Linked DNA regions of Coturnix japonica. Each later gene encodes a partner of the first gene's protein in a complex. Links are inferred from orthologs where the notes say so. Each region holds a gene or a part of one and is shown in the gene's direction. Other genes may lie near its edges.

Region 1 (4,084 bases):
CAATTAATTGCCAAGGAGCCTTAATGACTGGTGTGTCCCCCCCCAGGCTCTTTGCATCCCCACCTTCCAGCTCCTTGAGCAGCCCAGTGGCCTCCAGAACCATCCCGACACCGTGGATGATCTTTTCCGCCTCGCAGCCAGGTACCTGTGTCCCCACATCCCAAAATAGCCATGTCCTCCATGTCCCTGAATCCACACATCCCCATGTCCTCCATATCTCCATGTTCCTGCATCTCTGTGTCATCTACATTTCTGTATCTGCATGTCTACAAGTCCTCCGTGTCTCTCTGTCCCTGCATTTTCTTGTCCCCAAGTCCTTTATGTCCCCGTGTCTAACTGTCCCTGCATACCCATGTCCCCGCATCTCCATGTCCCCCATTTCCTGCATCCCCATCTCCTTTTTGTTTCCCTGTCCCACATGATATCCCCATAACATGCTGTCACCACATCCCCCTGACCCCATGTCACATTATATCTTCCTATCCCTCTCCCCAGAACCCATTGTCCCCTGTCCCAATGTACCCATATCCCCCCGTCCTCACCCCCTTGCCCCCCCCATCATATCCCCCCATCCCTTTGTACCCATACCCCCCTGTCCCATTCTCCCCACATCATATCCTTCTGTCCCCATGCTCCGCCCGTCCCCACACTCCATCCCCATGTCATATCCCCACACTCTCCTCTCCCTGTACCCCCCACCCCCCTTCCCCCCGCCCCCGTGGCACTGTCCCTGTCCCCAGGTTCATCCAGCGCAGCCCGGTGACGCTGCTGCGCAGCCAGGTGATGATCCCCATCCTGCAATGGGCCATCGCCGCCACCACGCTGGACCACCGCGACGCCAACTGCAGCGTCATGAAGTTCCTGCGTGACCTCGTGCACACCGGGGTGGCCAATGATGTGAGTGGGGTGGGATGGGGGGAAGGGGACAGGGAGCCGAGATTTGGGGTTGAAAGAGAACACGGGGAAGGATGTGACGTTGGGAGAGAATGTGGGGTTGGGTTGGGATGTGGGATTGTAGATTGATGTAGGTTGAGAGGGGATGTGGGATTGAGTTGGGAGAGGATGTGGGATTGGGAGAGGATGTGGGATTGGGAGAGGATATAGGTTGAGAGGGGATGTGGGATTGAGTTGGGAGAGGATGTGGGATTGGGAGAGGATATGGGTTTGAGTTGGAAGAGAACATAAGGTTGGATTGGAAGAGGAAGTGGGATTGGAAGAGGATGTGTGGTTGGGAGGTCAAAAGAGGATGTAGTATTGGGAGAGGATGTAGGATTGGGTTTGTTGCGGTTGTAGGGTTAGATTTGGGACTGGTTGGGACATAGGATTGGGGTAAGAGAGGAAGTTGGGGTTGGAGGTGATGTGGGTTAGGGTTAGAATTTTGGGGTTAGGGTTTGGAGATTTGGGGATGGCATGATGTGGAGATGATGGTGGGTTGGGATTGAAGATGGTGTGGGGTCAGAGATTTATGGCTAGAAATGTAGGGTTAGGGAGTGAAGGTTTGAGGTCAGTTTTAGGGTTAGAGTAAGGGTTAGAATTGTGGGGCTGGACTTGTTTCGGGCTCAGGGTTTGGGTTTTAGGATTAGGTGAAGATAAAGGTTTTAGGGTCAGGGTTTTAGGGTTATGGTTAGCATTAGGGTTAAGCTTAGGGTTTTAGGCTTAGGGTGTTAGGGTTAAGATTAGGGTTTGGGTTTTAGAGTTAGGGTTTGAAGGTTGTGGTTTCTGGTTTGGGGTTTTAGGATTAGTGTTAAGATTAGGGTTTCAGGCTCGGGATCCTCATACCTCATCCCCCTGCAGCACGAGGAGGACTTTGAGCTGCGCACGGAGCTGATAGCGCAGGTGCTGCGGCAGCTGGGGCAGCAGCTCGTCTCGCAGCTCCTGCACACCTGCTGCTTCTGCCTGCCACCCTACACACTGCCTGACGTGGCCGAGGTGCTCTGGGAGATCATGCAGAGCGACCGCGCGGTGAGCACACGTCACCATGTCCCCTCTGTCCCCACAGCCTCACGTCCCCTCTGTCTTCACAACCCCATGTCTCCAACATCCCCATGTCCTTGTCCCCATATCCCCAGCATCCTCACGCTCCTTTATCCCTGTGTCACCCATATCTCTGTATCCTCACATCCCCCAGATCCCTGCATCTTTGTGTCCCCATGTCCCCCGCATCTCTGTGTCCCCATGTCCCTATACCCCTAGCTCCTCCACATTCCCAAATCTCAGTGTCCCCACACCCTCATGTCCACCAGATCTCCATGTCCCTATATCCCTATGTTCCTCACATACCCATGTCCCCAAGTCCTCAATGGGCCTGTGTCCTTGCATCCCCCCATCTCCATATCTCTGCAGCTCCACATCCCTGTGTCACCACATCCCTGTGTTTCTATATCCTTTATGTCCCTCACATCTCCATGTCCCTGCTTTCCTGTATCCCTATATCCCTACTTCTCTGTGTCCCCATGTCCCCACATTCCTGTGTCCCTACGTGTGCCCACATGTCCCTGCATAACTGTGTCACCCACATCCCTATGGTGTCCCCATGTTCCCCCATCCCACAGAGTGACCCAGGGGGAGCACAGTACCCTCCTCTCACTTTTCTCCCCTCCCTTCAGACCTTCTGTCGGTGGCTGGAGAACTCCCTGAAGGCACTGCCAAAGGAGACGACAGGGGGGGCCATCCAGGTGACGCACAAGCAGCTGACAGATTTCCACAAGCAGGTGACGAGGTGAGAGCCCAGAGACCCCAGTTAGTGCTGGGAGCCTTGCTCTCAATTAGTGACCAGAGTCTGGACCCCATTATCTGATGGGACCCCAGACCTCAATCTGGGATCAGAGCCTGGACCCTGATATCTGATGTGACCCTAGACTCCAATATCTGATGGGATCCCAAACCCCAATTTGGGATCAGAGCCCTGACCCTTATAACTGGTGGGACCCCAAACCCCATCTTGAGATGAGATCCCATACCCTGGTGTCTGATGACCACAGACTAAAATTTGGAATCAGAGCCTGGACCCCAATATCTGATGGAATTGCAGACCTCAGTTTGGGATCAGAGCCCACACCCCAGTATCTCATGGGACCCCAGCCCCCTATGTGTCCCTGTGTGTCTCCCACCCCTCTAACACCTCCTCCCTTTGCAGTGCGGAGGAATGTAAGCAGGTCTGCTGGGCTCTGCGGGACTTCACACGCCTGTTCCGATAGCCTGCGCCCTGCACCCGGCACGGCGCCTGCTCCCAGGTAAGGCAGAGGAGACCAGAGGCCACCATGGGGGCAGCAGACCCCCAGGGGCATTGCTGGGGCTGGGGACATCACATTGGGATGGGGGAATTGTGTGGAATTGGGTTGCATTGGGGACATCATGTTGGGTTGAAGACATGGCACACTGTATTGGGTTGAGGACACTGTTGTATAGATTCAGCTGGGGATGTTGGACTGGGGACATTGCTCTGGGATGGGGATATTATGCTGTGTTGGGGACATGATACTGTGTCGGGGACATTGATTTGGGTTCATTTGGGGACATCGTGTTGGGATGGAGCCATCAAATTGGGTTGGGAACATGGCACTGGGTTGAGGTCATTGTTCTAGGTTCAGCTGGGGACATCACATCAGGTTGAGGTCATGGGCCTTTGTTGGGAACATTGTGCTTGGCTGGGGATGTTGTGTTGAGTTGGATTGGTGACATGGTGCTAAGTTGGGGTGGGGATGTTGTGCTGGGTTGGGGGGCCTGGTGCTGGGTTGGATAGGGGACATGGTGCTGGGTTGGGGACATTGTGCTTTATTGGGGACAATGTTCTGGGTTTGATCAGGGACATTGCATTGGGTTGGGACATGGCACTGTTGGGTTGGAGGACATCATGTTGGGTTGGGGACATTGGGTTAGGTTGAGGACATTGAGTTGGGATGAGTTGGGGACGTGGTGTTGGGATGGGGACGTGGTGTTGGGTTGGGGGCATCAAGTTGGGATGGGGATGGGGTGTTGGGTTGGGGTCATCAAGTTGGGTTGGGGACATGGTGCTGGTTGGGGACATGGTGCTGGTTGGGGACATGGTGCTGGTTGGGGACATGGTGCTGGTTGGGGACATGGT
Region 2 (4,995 bases), on another chromosome or scaffold:
GGGTTGTGGGTCCACAAATGGATGCCATGTATGGGGTGGGTGTGCTGTGCTCCAACATGGTCACTGTAAATCAATCACAGAGGGGAAATGCAGCAGCAACACTCCTTACCATGGCAACGCTGGGATTGCATCAGGCCTTTTCTTCTTGTTTCCTGCACTGCAAAACTGGATGAGCAGCTCCCCGAGGGGATGGTAGGAAGAGAGAATGGAATCGTTTTGTCCTGTGGGCAGGAATGGGGCTGCAGGGTGCAACAGATGCGAGGGTCCCTCTGTCCTCCTGTCCTTCATCACCTCGTTGTGCCAAGGAGTATTTGGGGACACAGTGAGCAGGGCTGTGTCTGTGCCAGCTGCTGCTGCTGCAGGGAGGTTGGCTCTGGTGACACACACGTTACATCTCATCACACAATTAGCTGCCTTAACAAGCTTGCAGAGCTGCTCCCGGTGCTGCTTTTGGCTGCAGCCCTGCAGTGCAAGGAGAGGCTGCTCTGCTTTGTGGCTCATGCTTGGGTCAGAGGGAACAAGCAGATCTGGAGCAGGAGAAACCCTTGGAGAGCAGCAGATCTGGGGCAACACAGGTGATTTCTGCTGTTAATGGAGCAGCTCCGGTTATGCCAAAGGAAGGACGTTGTCACCGCTGTGTCCTCAGCTTTTTGGGGATGAATCCTCTGCAAGGAGAGCCCCAAATACTGCAACCCACAGCACTCAGTCCTGGTGGGGCCAGAATGCACCTGGAGCATTGAAACAGATCAGTGTGTCAAGGTCACTCTATCCAACCTCATTGCAGAGTGCTGGCGTTAACACCACCCTCATTTAATCAGAAGGCTGTAGAAGGGCTGAGCTCAGGGCTGTGCTGAAGGGCACGGAGCACAGCTGTGAGCAGCACTCAGCTGTGAGCCAGGCTACAAAGCTTTGTGCCCATCATCACCATTTCTAACTGCTGCTCCAGTGATTCCCAAGGGTCCGACCTTCCCCTTTTCCATCCAAGCACATTGGATGCATTTAATAGACACATACAACCCTCCTCTGACCAATGGCTCTTCCATCTCCTCTCCTCTGGGCCTCACCTGTGCTGTGTAGCTCTGATAAGTCCATTTTAACCCCTGCACAGCGTTGCTGTTGGTGGCACAGGGCTCTTCATGCAGCTCTAGGTAAGTTGTACTGTCAATATACACCAGTGCAGACTCTCATTAAACATTTCAGTGCAAACAGGGCTGAGTTTTGTTTTATAATCGCCATCGTTTCTCCTCAGGAACCACCACAGCGAGGAGCCTAGGCCGCATACAGAGGGACTAGGCCGCACCAGGACCTCGGGCTGCATAGCGCTGAGGTTTGAAGGCCTGGCTCCTTCGGACAGCACTGAGAGCTGGGCCACCCTCTCAGGGTATCCCTTAGGGAAGGGATAGAGGACGGCACGTCGGACAGGGCTGCTCGTAGGGCCGTATAAACGCAGGCCGGGATCATACCCAAGATGGCGGCCGCCCCCTCAGGCGCCCCTTTGTCTGCAGCGCCGCATTGCTGCGAAGGGCGCGAAACTGGGGCAGCGTAGCCACACCCCATTGGGCGTGCCGGCCGCCAGGGGGCGGGGATAAGGAGGTGGGCGGCCAATCAGAGGCCTCCACTTCCTTCCTCCTCACAGGGGCTCCCGCGGCCAACGGGCTGGGCGCTCTCAGCCAATCAGCGTCGCGCTCCAGGCCACGCCCCCTCGTGGGCGGAGCTGCCGGCGGGGTTTTGTTCGCGCTCCCTCCTCCCCTCTCCCCTCATGAATATTAACAAGATACTATCCAATCAGACGGCGACGCAGCGGCGGCGCTTTGGTGACGTCATTCGCCCCGCCCCCTGGCGAATTCAAATTTGCATATTCATGAAGTAGGCGGGGCCTGGAGCGGGACTATATAAGCCGCCGCCCCGCCATCCGCCGCGTTCGTCGCGCTGAGGCTTTGAAGTGCAGGGTGGTGTTCGCGGTCCCGCACACCGGTAAGCGCCCACTGACACGCGTGGGGCGGCTGCTGGGGGTGTGGGGGGATTGATTCGGAGCTGTGCATGGAGGATAACATGTTCCCGATGGAGGTGGGGGTTCGGTTCGGTGTCTCGGCCCAAAATGGGGCGGCTTTGCACCGCCGGGCCTTGTATAGCTGCGGGCGGTGCGGCCTAGTGCGGGATGGCCGCGGTGTTGGAGCGTGAAGGGGCGCCTGGAAACAAAATGGCGACGGGCCTCGGCCGTGCAAAATGGCGGCGGGAGGGAGGAGGGGCGTCGCACTGCGCATGCGCGCGGGGTGGGGGGTCCCGAGCCGGGCGGGGGTCCGCGTGGCGAGGCCCCCCCTGTGGGTGCGCGCATGCGCGGTGCTGGTGGCGCGGCGCATATCGCCCCCTGGCGGCTGGGAGGACCCGTCGGTTGAGGCGTTGATATGATGTTGATACGAGGCTGGTTGGTTCGGTAGGTCACGATGGCATCAGATGAAGGCAAGCTGTTCGTCGGAGGGCTGAGCTTTGACACCAACGAGCAGTCGCTGGAGCAGGTTTTCTCCAAGTACGGGCAGATCTCTGAAGGTGAGGGCATGTTATGGGGGCTGCGGGGATGTGCTGGGTTCTGCTGCAGTTCTGTGCTGGGTTCTGATGGTGGCTGTTCTCTCCTCCAGTGGTGGTGGTGAAAGACAGAGAAACCCAGAGGTCCAGAGGCTTCGGCTTTGTGACGTTTGAAAACATAGATGATGCAAAGGATGCAATGATGGCCATGAATGGGAAGGTAAGCAGGGTCTGCTGGAGCTGGTTTTTCTCCCCCTTAAGAATTATAGGCTCATAGAATAGTCTGGGTTGAAAAGGATCACAATGATCATCTATTTTCATCCCCCCTGCCCATGTGCAGGGTCACCAACCACCAGATAAGGCTGCCCAGAGCCACATCCATCCTGGCCTTGAATGCCTGCAGGAATCAGGAAGCAATTTAGGCATGCTTCTGTTTGAAGCCATGAGATAATACAGATAAACACTGGGGTCTTCCCAAAGAAACAGCAGAGCAACGTGGCTTAGTGAAATCCTGTTGTGCTGCTGCGTTCTGAAGAAGGCTGAAGCTGTGATCACAGAATGGTTTGGGTTGGAATTGTGGATTGTGAAACTCCAGTCGCTCTGCTGCAGGCAGGGCTGCCAGCCTTTATATTTAATACCAGCCCAAGCTGCTCAGGCCCCATCCAGCCTGGCCTTAAACACCTCCAGAGATAAATGGGGCATCCACAGCCTTTCTGGGCAGCTGTTCCTGCACCTCCCCATTCTCATAGTAAAGAAATTCCCCCTGAAATCCAATCTAAATCCTCTCTTGTTTGACTTAAAAGCATTTCCCCTTGTCCTGCTTGCTTTCCTCTTGTCCCCCTTGTAGTGAAGTGCCCTCCTGTCTGTTTGTAGGCCCCTTTAGGTACTGAAAGGCTGCAATGAGGTCACCTGGCAGCCTTCTTTTTAAGAGCATCTTTGTAATGCATGAGAATCCATCTCTATGTGTCGTCATCTCAGTTGCAGTGTTGCAAACCAGTACATACTGCTATTGAAACTCCAGTGTTGCTTCACTGGGAGCAAAGCCGTGCATTGTACGTGAGCTGATTTATCTTTCTGCTCATTAGTCTGTAGATGGCCGTCAGATCAGAGTCGATCAAGCTGGAAAATCATCAGAGAACAGATCCCGAGGCTACAGAGGGGGATCCACCGGGGGCAGGGGCTTCTTCCGTGGGGGCAGAGGTCGGGGCCGTGGCTTCTCCAGAGGTGAGCACACATTGGGGTTGATCTGCTTGGGATGGGGGTGGTGTCTGTCAATGTGCTGGAGGAGAAACCATAAACATGGTGTGTGTTCCAGGAGGTGGAGACAGAGGCTACGGTGGGAGCAGATTTGACTCCAGAAGTGGAGGATATAATGGCTCCAGAGACTACTATAATAGCAGGTAATGCTATTGTGACTGCTAGCCTGGCTTGTTACTGAGCTCTTAGTGCCTGACAGGCAGCAATGCCAGCAGGCTGCACAAGCTGCCGAGCAAATATAAAGCGCCTGAATGTTTCCAACAGCAGGAGTCAAGGTGGCTATGGAGACAGGTCTTCAGGAGGCTCCTACAGAGACAGCTACGACAGTTACGGTAAGTCCTGGTTCAAATGGGAGCCATGCGTACGTTGCTGTAGGAACTCTCTAAACCTTCTGACCCTGTTGTGATGTCTGGAAATGCTCTGAGGTTCAGCTTTGGCCTGTGCCCCCCCTCCCCTTCCCCCCTTTTTCTTTTCCTTGGCCATAAGAACCAATCTTGTCAGGCTTTTGGAGATGGCGGTTGTGCCGTTTTATAATGTCTTTTTAATTTGTAATGCATGTTGGAGGAGTTGCTTGGATCTAAAGGCAAAAAAGCAAGTTGTTGTTTTTTTTTCTTTTCCTTTCTTTCTTTTAAATTCATTCTTGGAGCTTGAGACTAAACCAAAAAAAAAAACAAGGAAGCCCTGACAAACTGCATTCAAGGGTGGGGGAGTTCTCTGACATGGTAGCACACTTTAGCTGCTGGAATAATGCAAGGGAGTTAAAATGCTGGTGGAACTTGTCTATGCTTCAGTGCCTTTACAATTGTGCCTGCTTCTTGTCCTCAGCTACACACAACGAGTAAAAATCCTTCCTGACTCAAGATCGTCCTTCCAATGGCTGTATTTATAAAGATTTTTGGAGCTTCGCTGAAATGGTTATTATTGTGTAGTACATCTTACTTGTATTTTCCACTTTTGTAGTATTATCAGTTCTAATCTTGTCAAAAAGAAAACAAAAAACACAGCCTGACAGCTTCTGATAAACCAGATGGGTCTGATGAGACTTGATTCCTTTTAGGAAGGCTCTGCTTTCGAGTGGGTTTTTTTTTTAATCTCTTTTGGAAAGCACTTCAGATTTTGTTCGAACACGATGAGCCAAGGTGTTTTTTTTTCTTACATAGAAAGGCATGAAGTTGGGGCCCCCATAATTCAGTTTCTTTTCAGATAGAAAGGACC
Region 3 (5,313 bases), on another chromosome or scaffold:
TCATTTAAAGTAGTTATAAGGACTATTAACACACAAAAGAAATTGTGCAGCAGGGTTTTAGCAAACCAGGCAGATTCACCATTATCTTATGACGCCTTTAAGAATAACATCCAGCATTTATTAAACCCCATTCCCAGGCTTAGGCTGCAGCTTTCTCCAGACATGGGGAGAGTTTGTTTGGGGTCTTTGCAACCAGTTCACACTGGAAAGCATTAAAGCTCCATAAAGATGCAGGAAATCCCCCAGAACCATGAGCTGTATGTGGGTAAAGCACCGCTTCTGCTGGTGGGCTTTGCTCATCACATCCTCCTGTGGTTGACAGCAGTCTTTAAAGCACCAGCAATGCAGCACAGGCATCACTAATGTCAGAAACCATTAGAGCAGAGGACGTTACTGCACTTTAACCCACAGGGACAAAAATAAAAGGCATTGATAATAACCAAGCACACTATAACTTTGTCATGAAAATGTTTTCACTATGGGATGTTTTCTAACTGTAAGTCACTGTCTGTGGGAGGAATACACGCTTTGAATTAACAAATGAAAACAAAGTGAGCACAACAGCCACTGCTAAATGCTCGGACACATTCCTCAAACTCCCCTCATCAACTCAGGAGCATAATGGCTTTTCTCCATGCTCAGCTGCTGTTTCCCCATCCCTGTGGTGCTGAGATTCAGCCCTCCAGCACCAGGCAGGCTCAGCGGTGCTGGATGCAGGCAGGCAACCACTGTGTGCCCCAGTGCCACTTCCAGCCCTCAATGCATTGCCACATCTGCAAAGCAAAGCACAACGTCCAGGCAGCCAAGTGTGAGCCAACAGAGCAGGGACTGCTCTGCCCTCATGGGTCAGGCAAAGACTTTATGCTGTATTAAAGAAAGAAAAGTGGATGTTGGAGTTTCTGTGTCACCACAGAGCAGCTACAGGCCAAAAGAATTCTTGTTGTTAAACCAAAGCCTGGCTCATCTAATTGCACCCTCATTACTTAAAAGCAATTTATACGTTCAAAATTACATCTGCTGCCTGAAGAAATGTCAGAGACGTGTGAGTAACAAGGGTAACATCCCGGTGTGTTACTGTGCCTTCACATCAATTACAACCTCATCAAGAAAACAAACTCAGCACGGCGTTATTCTCGTGCCCCCATAGTTCGGCTGTGCTCATAGGAAGGTTCTGCCCATAGTTAGGCTGTGCCCTTAGGCCGGCTCTGCTCACACCCGTACACAGCGCCCGCCATCGCCCCCAGTTCCGCTCGTTTCCCACCCGCCCGGTGTTTGCACTGCTGTTCCATTCATGACTCAGTCCCCATCACACCCTGCCGTGTTCCTGCCCTTTATTCGTATCCCGTTGCCGTCCCGCTGCCCGCCCCGCCGCGTTCCCCTGAGGCGGGCGGTGACGCGGTGCCCGCTCCGTGCCCTCGGGGCGGCCATTTTGCCTCCGCACCGAGCCCGTCCCAACCGTCCCACACAGTGTCCGCTGAGCGGCTGACGGACCCACACGGCCCGCTCCCCGTGCACCCCGTGCAGCCGCAGGGCGGATCCGCCCGCAGCGCTTCGTGCGGACACGGATCGGTTCGGACCGGCCGGGAATGGACGCTCAGTACCGAGCCCGCCCGCCCAGCGCTGCGCACGGCCCGACCCGCCCGCGGTGCATTGTGGGCCGGGCCACGCCCCGCGCCTTGGCGCCAAGAGCCCCGAGCGGCGCGGTGCATTGTGGGACACCCCCAGCGCCGGCCGGGACTTCTTGGCGCGAGCGCCGCACCGGAAGTGACGTCACACGGCCCGGCGCCCTGAGACGGCAGCGGAAAGAAGCGCGGCGGTCCCGGTGCGGACAGCGGGGATCGGAGGCGGATATTCACGTTCATCCCGACCTCGCTGGCAGGAGCGGAGCCTCTTGTGCGGCCACAGCCGCTTTGGCGGAGCAGCGGAGGCGAAAGGCAAAAGAGAGGAACTACTTTTCCGCGCTGCCGCGCATGCGCGAGGGCGAGAGCGCGGCGGGATACTCGGAACGCATTGCGGTCTCGCGGCCCGGCGGTGCTGCGGCGCGGGGTGAGAGAGATCAGTGCGCGAGATCAGTGCGCGCTGCGAGCGCGAGGGGAGCCGCGGTCGCCATTTTGAAGCGGCGGTTGCTGGAGTCGCCGTGTCCGCTCCCGTCCGCACGGCCCGGCCCCGCGCCCGCCCGCCCGCCCGCGCTCCGCGCCCCGGCCCCTGAACGCCGCAGCCATTGCCGACCTCGGCATGTCCGGAGGGGGCGTGATCCGCGGCCCGGCCGGCAATAACGACTGCCGCATCTACGTGGGCAACCTGCCCCCCGACATCCGCACCAAGGACATCGAGGACGTGTTCTACAAATACGGCGCCATCCGCGACATCGACCTGAAGAACCGCCGCGGGGGGCCGCCCTTCGCCTTCGTGGAGTTCGAGGACCCGAGGTGAGCGCCGCGGGGCCCTGGGGCACGGGCGGGAACGGCTCCGCCGGGCGCCGATACCCCCCCCCTCCATTCCCTCCCTTCCTCCACGCGCGGCGCCGCTCCCGCTGCGCGCTATTCCACACACACACACACACACACACACACACACACACGCTCGGCTCGTTGCGCTCCGGGCCCGGCGCGGTGCCGCCGCTGGGGGTGGCGGTGATGGCGGTGATGGTGGTTGTGGTGCTGATGGTGGTGGTGGGGGCGGGGTGGGGCCGCGGGTATTGGGAACAAAGGCGCTGCGGGGGGCGGCGCGTGGCAGGGCGCGGCCGCGCTCACCGCCCGTCCCGACCCGCAGGGACGCCGAGGACGCCGTGTACGGGCGGGACGGTTACGATTACGATGGGTATCGCCTCCGCGTGGAGTTCCCTCGCAGCGGCCGGGGGACCGGCAGAGGAGGCGGCGGCGGCGGAGGGGGCGGAGCCCCGCGGGGCAGATACGGCCCCCCGTCCCGGCGATCGGAGTACAGAGTGATCGTCTCGGGTGAGTCGCTGCTCTCTTCCCCCGGGTCCTTCGTGCTGCCGTGCGCGGGGGGCGACGCGGCTCCGCTTTTCCCTGCGAAGCCTCGGGATGGGGGAGGGGTGCTGGATGCTGTGGGCTGTGTGCAGGGTGTTCTGCTCGTGTGCTGCGGGATGATGCTGGAATTGCAACACCGGAGGCCTTGGGTTCGAATCCCCTGTGGCGCAAGTGGCAGAAGTGCCGCTCTGCTACACAGAAGGCTCAAATCGCGGGGGGTTGGACTCGATGATGTCTAAGGTCCCTTCCAACCCGCACGAGACTGTGATACTATGATATGATCGCACCATTGGGTTTTAAAGCCAGGTGTTGCTTTTTATCCAGGACTGCCTCCAAGTGGAAGTTGGCAGGATTTAAAGGATCACATGCGTGAAGCAGGTGATGTATGTTATGCTGATGTTTTCCGAGATGGAACTGGTGTCGTGGAGTTTGTACGGAAGGAAGATATGACCTACGCTGTGCGAAAACTGGATAACACTAAGTTTAGATCTCATGAGGTAGGTTTCACGCTTACTTGTTTTTGGCCAGAATTGGATACAAAGGGCTTAACAGTAGGATGTGAAGGTAAGGAATGTGTGGTGATCATTGCGTTAATACACGAAGCAGCTAAACTGAGTCTGCTGTCAGTTTGTCACGAAATAGACTTTATTAAGAGTTTGATGTCTATTTCTGTGCCTTAGTAAAGATATCTGCAGTCTGTCAGCATGCCTAAAACGATGGCCCCGAAGCCTAGACCTTTCAATCGAAAGTTGTGTCTATTCAATAGGGAGAAACTGCCTACATCCGTGTTAAAGTTGATGGTCCAAGAAGTCCAAGCTATGGAAGATCTCGGTCACGCAGCCGTAGTCGTAGCAGAAGCCGTAGTCGAAGCAACAGCAGAAGCCGCAGTTATTCCCCAAGAAGAAGCAGAGGATCTCCACGCTACTCTCCCCGCCACAGCAGATCCCGATCTCGTACATAAGCGATCACTAGCTCTGATCTTTTTGTAGAACCCCATGTTGTACACAGTTTTCCTTTACTCAGTACAGTCTTTCAATATTATTTTTTTTTAAATTCAAGCTGTTTTATTCAGATTGGCTGAAGTGTTGAATTGCATTCTTGTGTAAAATCCCTAGTGAGTATTTGCTCCGTAACAACAACATTCCCCCTCATGTCTTTGGTAAACTGTATTTTAATTGATGTCAGTCAGGATTGTTTCAATTTAGTTCTAGTTAAATACCAACACTCTTCAAACTGTGGTATTGCTGTGTAAATGTCTCAGTGTTCAGCTATGGTTCATGCGAGCTGGGGATGTTGGGATGTTTGTGGCTAACTTGTCTCTTCTGGGGGATCTTATATTTTATCTTGCCTTTTCGTGTGTCTTTCTGTAGACATATCTGAAGAGATGGATTAAGAATGCTTTGGATTAAAGGATTGTGGAGCACATGTCAATCATTTTAGGATTGTCAAAAGGAGGATTGAGGAGGATCAGATCAATAATGGAGGCAATGGTATGACTCCAAGTGCTATTGTCACAGATGAACTTGGCAGTATTGACCTTATACTGAGACAGGTGAATTGAGAACGTGCGCCTGCGTGTCACTTCTTCAGGCACCTCTTGGTCACTGCGGGCTGCAATTGCTCTGTTCTTTAAAACCCTCTTGGCAATTGTGGCTCAGTACTTGCCGGTGTAATTCCTTATTCCATTCTAGTCTTTTTTTAAAGGAGTAAACCGGGACAGGGGTGGGAGCATTGGTTTGTCCCGCGGCATTTGGTTCCAAGCGTTAACGGCCCGCAGTACTTCCACGCTTGCGGATCAAGGGTATCTTTAAATGGGAGTATAATATCAATACTGCTAAAATCTGCATGTCCTCTGTGTGACTGATACAGCGTTGCTATTTCATTTCTTTTAAGTATCAGAATGAAAGGGAAAAAAGCCAAAAACCCAAATCCTAAGAGAACCTGGTTGGGAATCGTTTGTCAGCCCTTCCCCAGCCTAATTCAGAGCTGACTCACCGTATTGAGAGCTGCAGTTAGTTCCTCTGTTACCTTCCAGCCGGGGGTGCTGGCCGTAGCTGAGAGGCGCAGTAGGTGACAGCTTTAGCAGTAAAACTTTTCCAATTTCATAAACATTTTTTGCAACCACAGAAGCTGTAGAGCACCACCGTACGAGCAATGAGTATGTTGGCATTTTTAGTTGACATATGTAAATATTGCAGTGTTTCCTCCAAATAATTAACGTTTCTTAAAGAGAACAAAAGATATAGCATCACCATTCAGAAGCTTGTTTTGGGGAATTGATAGTTATTACTGTACATCTGTATTAATTGATGGCAAACATAAC

Evidence for each region.
Region 2: the proteins of TNPO3 (region 1) and CIRBP are in contact, whole or in part, in a crystal structure (PDB 8CMK), measured with the Homo sapiens proteins. The link is inferred for Coturnix japonica from reciprocal best matches to the Homo sapiens genes TNPO3 and CIRBP. Residues at the interface, in NP_036602.1 of Homo sapiens: Arg620, Glu660, Arg661, Cys663, Arg664, Arg667, Phe668, Arg671, Ser698, Cys699, Tyr702, Ser705, Ile706, Asp709, Glu710, Asp747, Asp750, Asp751, Arg754, Arg758; in NP_001271.1 of Homo sapiens: Tyr160, Arg161, Ser163, Tyr164, Asp165, Ser166, Tyr167, Ala168.
Region 3: the proteins of TNPO3 (region 1) and SRSF1 are in contact, whole or in part, in a crystal structure (PDB 4C0O), measured with the Homo sapiens proteins. The link is inferred for Coturnix japonica from reciprocal best matches to the Homo sapiens genes TNPO3 and SRSF1. Residues at the interface, in NP_036602.1 of Homo sapiens: His155, Arg157, Arg160, Thr167, Tyr254, Ile256, Glu257, Glu304, Glu340, Ile341, Phe343, Asn344, Tyr347, Arg348, Glu351, His352, Lys355, Thr356, Arg620, Asn656, Glu660, Arg661, Arg664, Arg667, Phe668, Arg671, Ser698, Cys699, Tyr702, Ile706; in NP_008855.1 of Homo sapiens: Ser116, Arg117, Arg118, Ser133, Trp134, Gln135, Lys138, Asp139, Arg142, Glu143, Gly145, Asp146, Cys148, Tyr149, Ala150, Asp151, Val152, Tyr153, Arg154, Val172, Arg173, Asp176, Asn177, Arg181, His183, Tyr189, Ile190, Arg191, Arg198, Pro200.

Annotation. Positions count from the first base shown.
Region 1 is NC_029516.1:719,988-724,071, reverse strand, and holds part of TNPO3 (transportin-3), read left to right. Parts: intron 1-46; coding exon 47-141; intron 142-740; coding exon 741-897; intron 898-1,794; coding exon 1,795-1,962; intron 1,963-2,606; coding exon 2,607-2,719; intron 2,720-3,136; coding exon 3,137-3,197; 3' UTR 3,198-3,233; intron 3,234-4,084. UniProt on the Homo sapiens protein: Importin, which transports target proteins into the nucleus. Specifically mediates the nuclear import of splicing factor serine/arginine (SR) proteins, such as RBM4, SFRS1 and SFRS2, by recognizing phosphorylated SR domains.
Region 2 is NC_029543.1:2,135,850-2,140,844, forward strand, and holds the start of CIRBP (cold-inducible RNA-binding protein), read left to right. Parts: upstream 1-1,842; 5' UTR 1,843-1,974; intron 1,975-2,438; 5' UTR 2,439-2,444; coding exon 2,445-2,547; intron 2,548-2,636; coding exon 2,637-2,743; intron 2,744-3,608; coding exon 3,609-3,747; intron 3,748-3,838; coding exon 3,839-3,923; intron 3,924-4,044; coding exon 4,045-4,186; 3' UTR 4,187-4,605; coding exon of another isoform or gene 4,606-4,622; 3' UTR 4,623-4,995. UniProt on the Homo sapiens protein: Cold-inducible mRNA binding protein that plays a protective role in the genotoxic stress response by stabilizing transcripts of genes involved in cell survival. Acts as a translational activator.
Region 3 is NC_029534.1:7,446,143-7,451,455, forward strand, and holds the start of SRSF1 (serine/arginine-rich splicing factor 1), read left to right. Parts: upstream 1-2,079; 5' UTR 2,080-2,235; coding exon 2,236-2,429; intron 2,430-2,772; coding exon 2,773-2,957; intron 2,958-3,314; coding exon 3,315-3,487; exon of another isoform or gene 3,488-3,756; coding exon 3,757-3,951; 3' UTR 3,952-5,313. UniProt on the Homo sapiens protein: Plays a role in preventing exon skipping, ensuring the accuracy of splicing and regulating alternative splicing.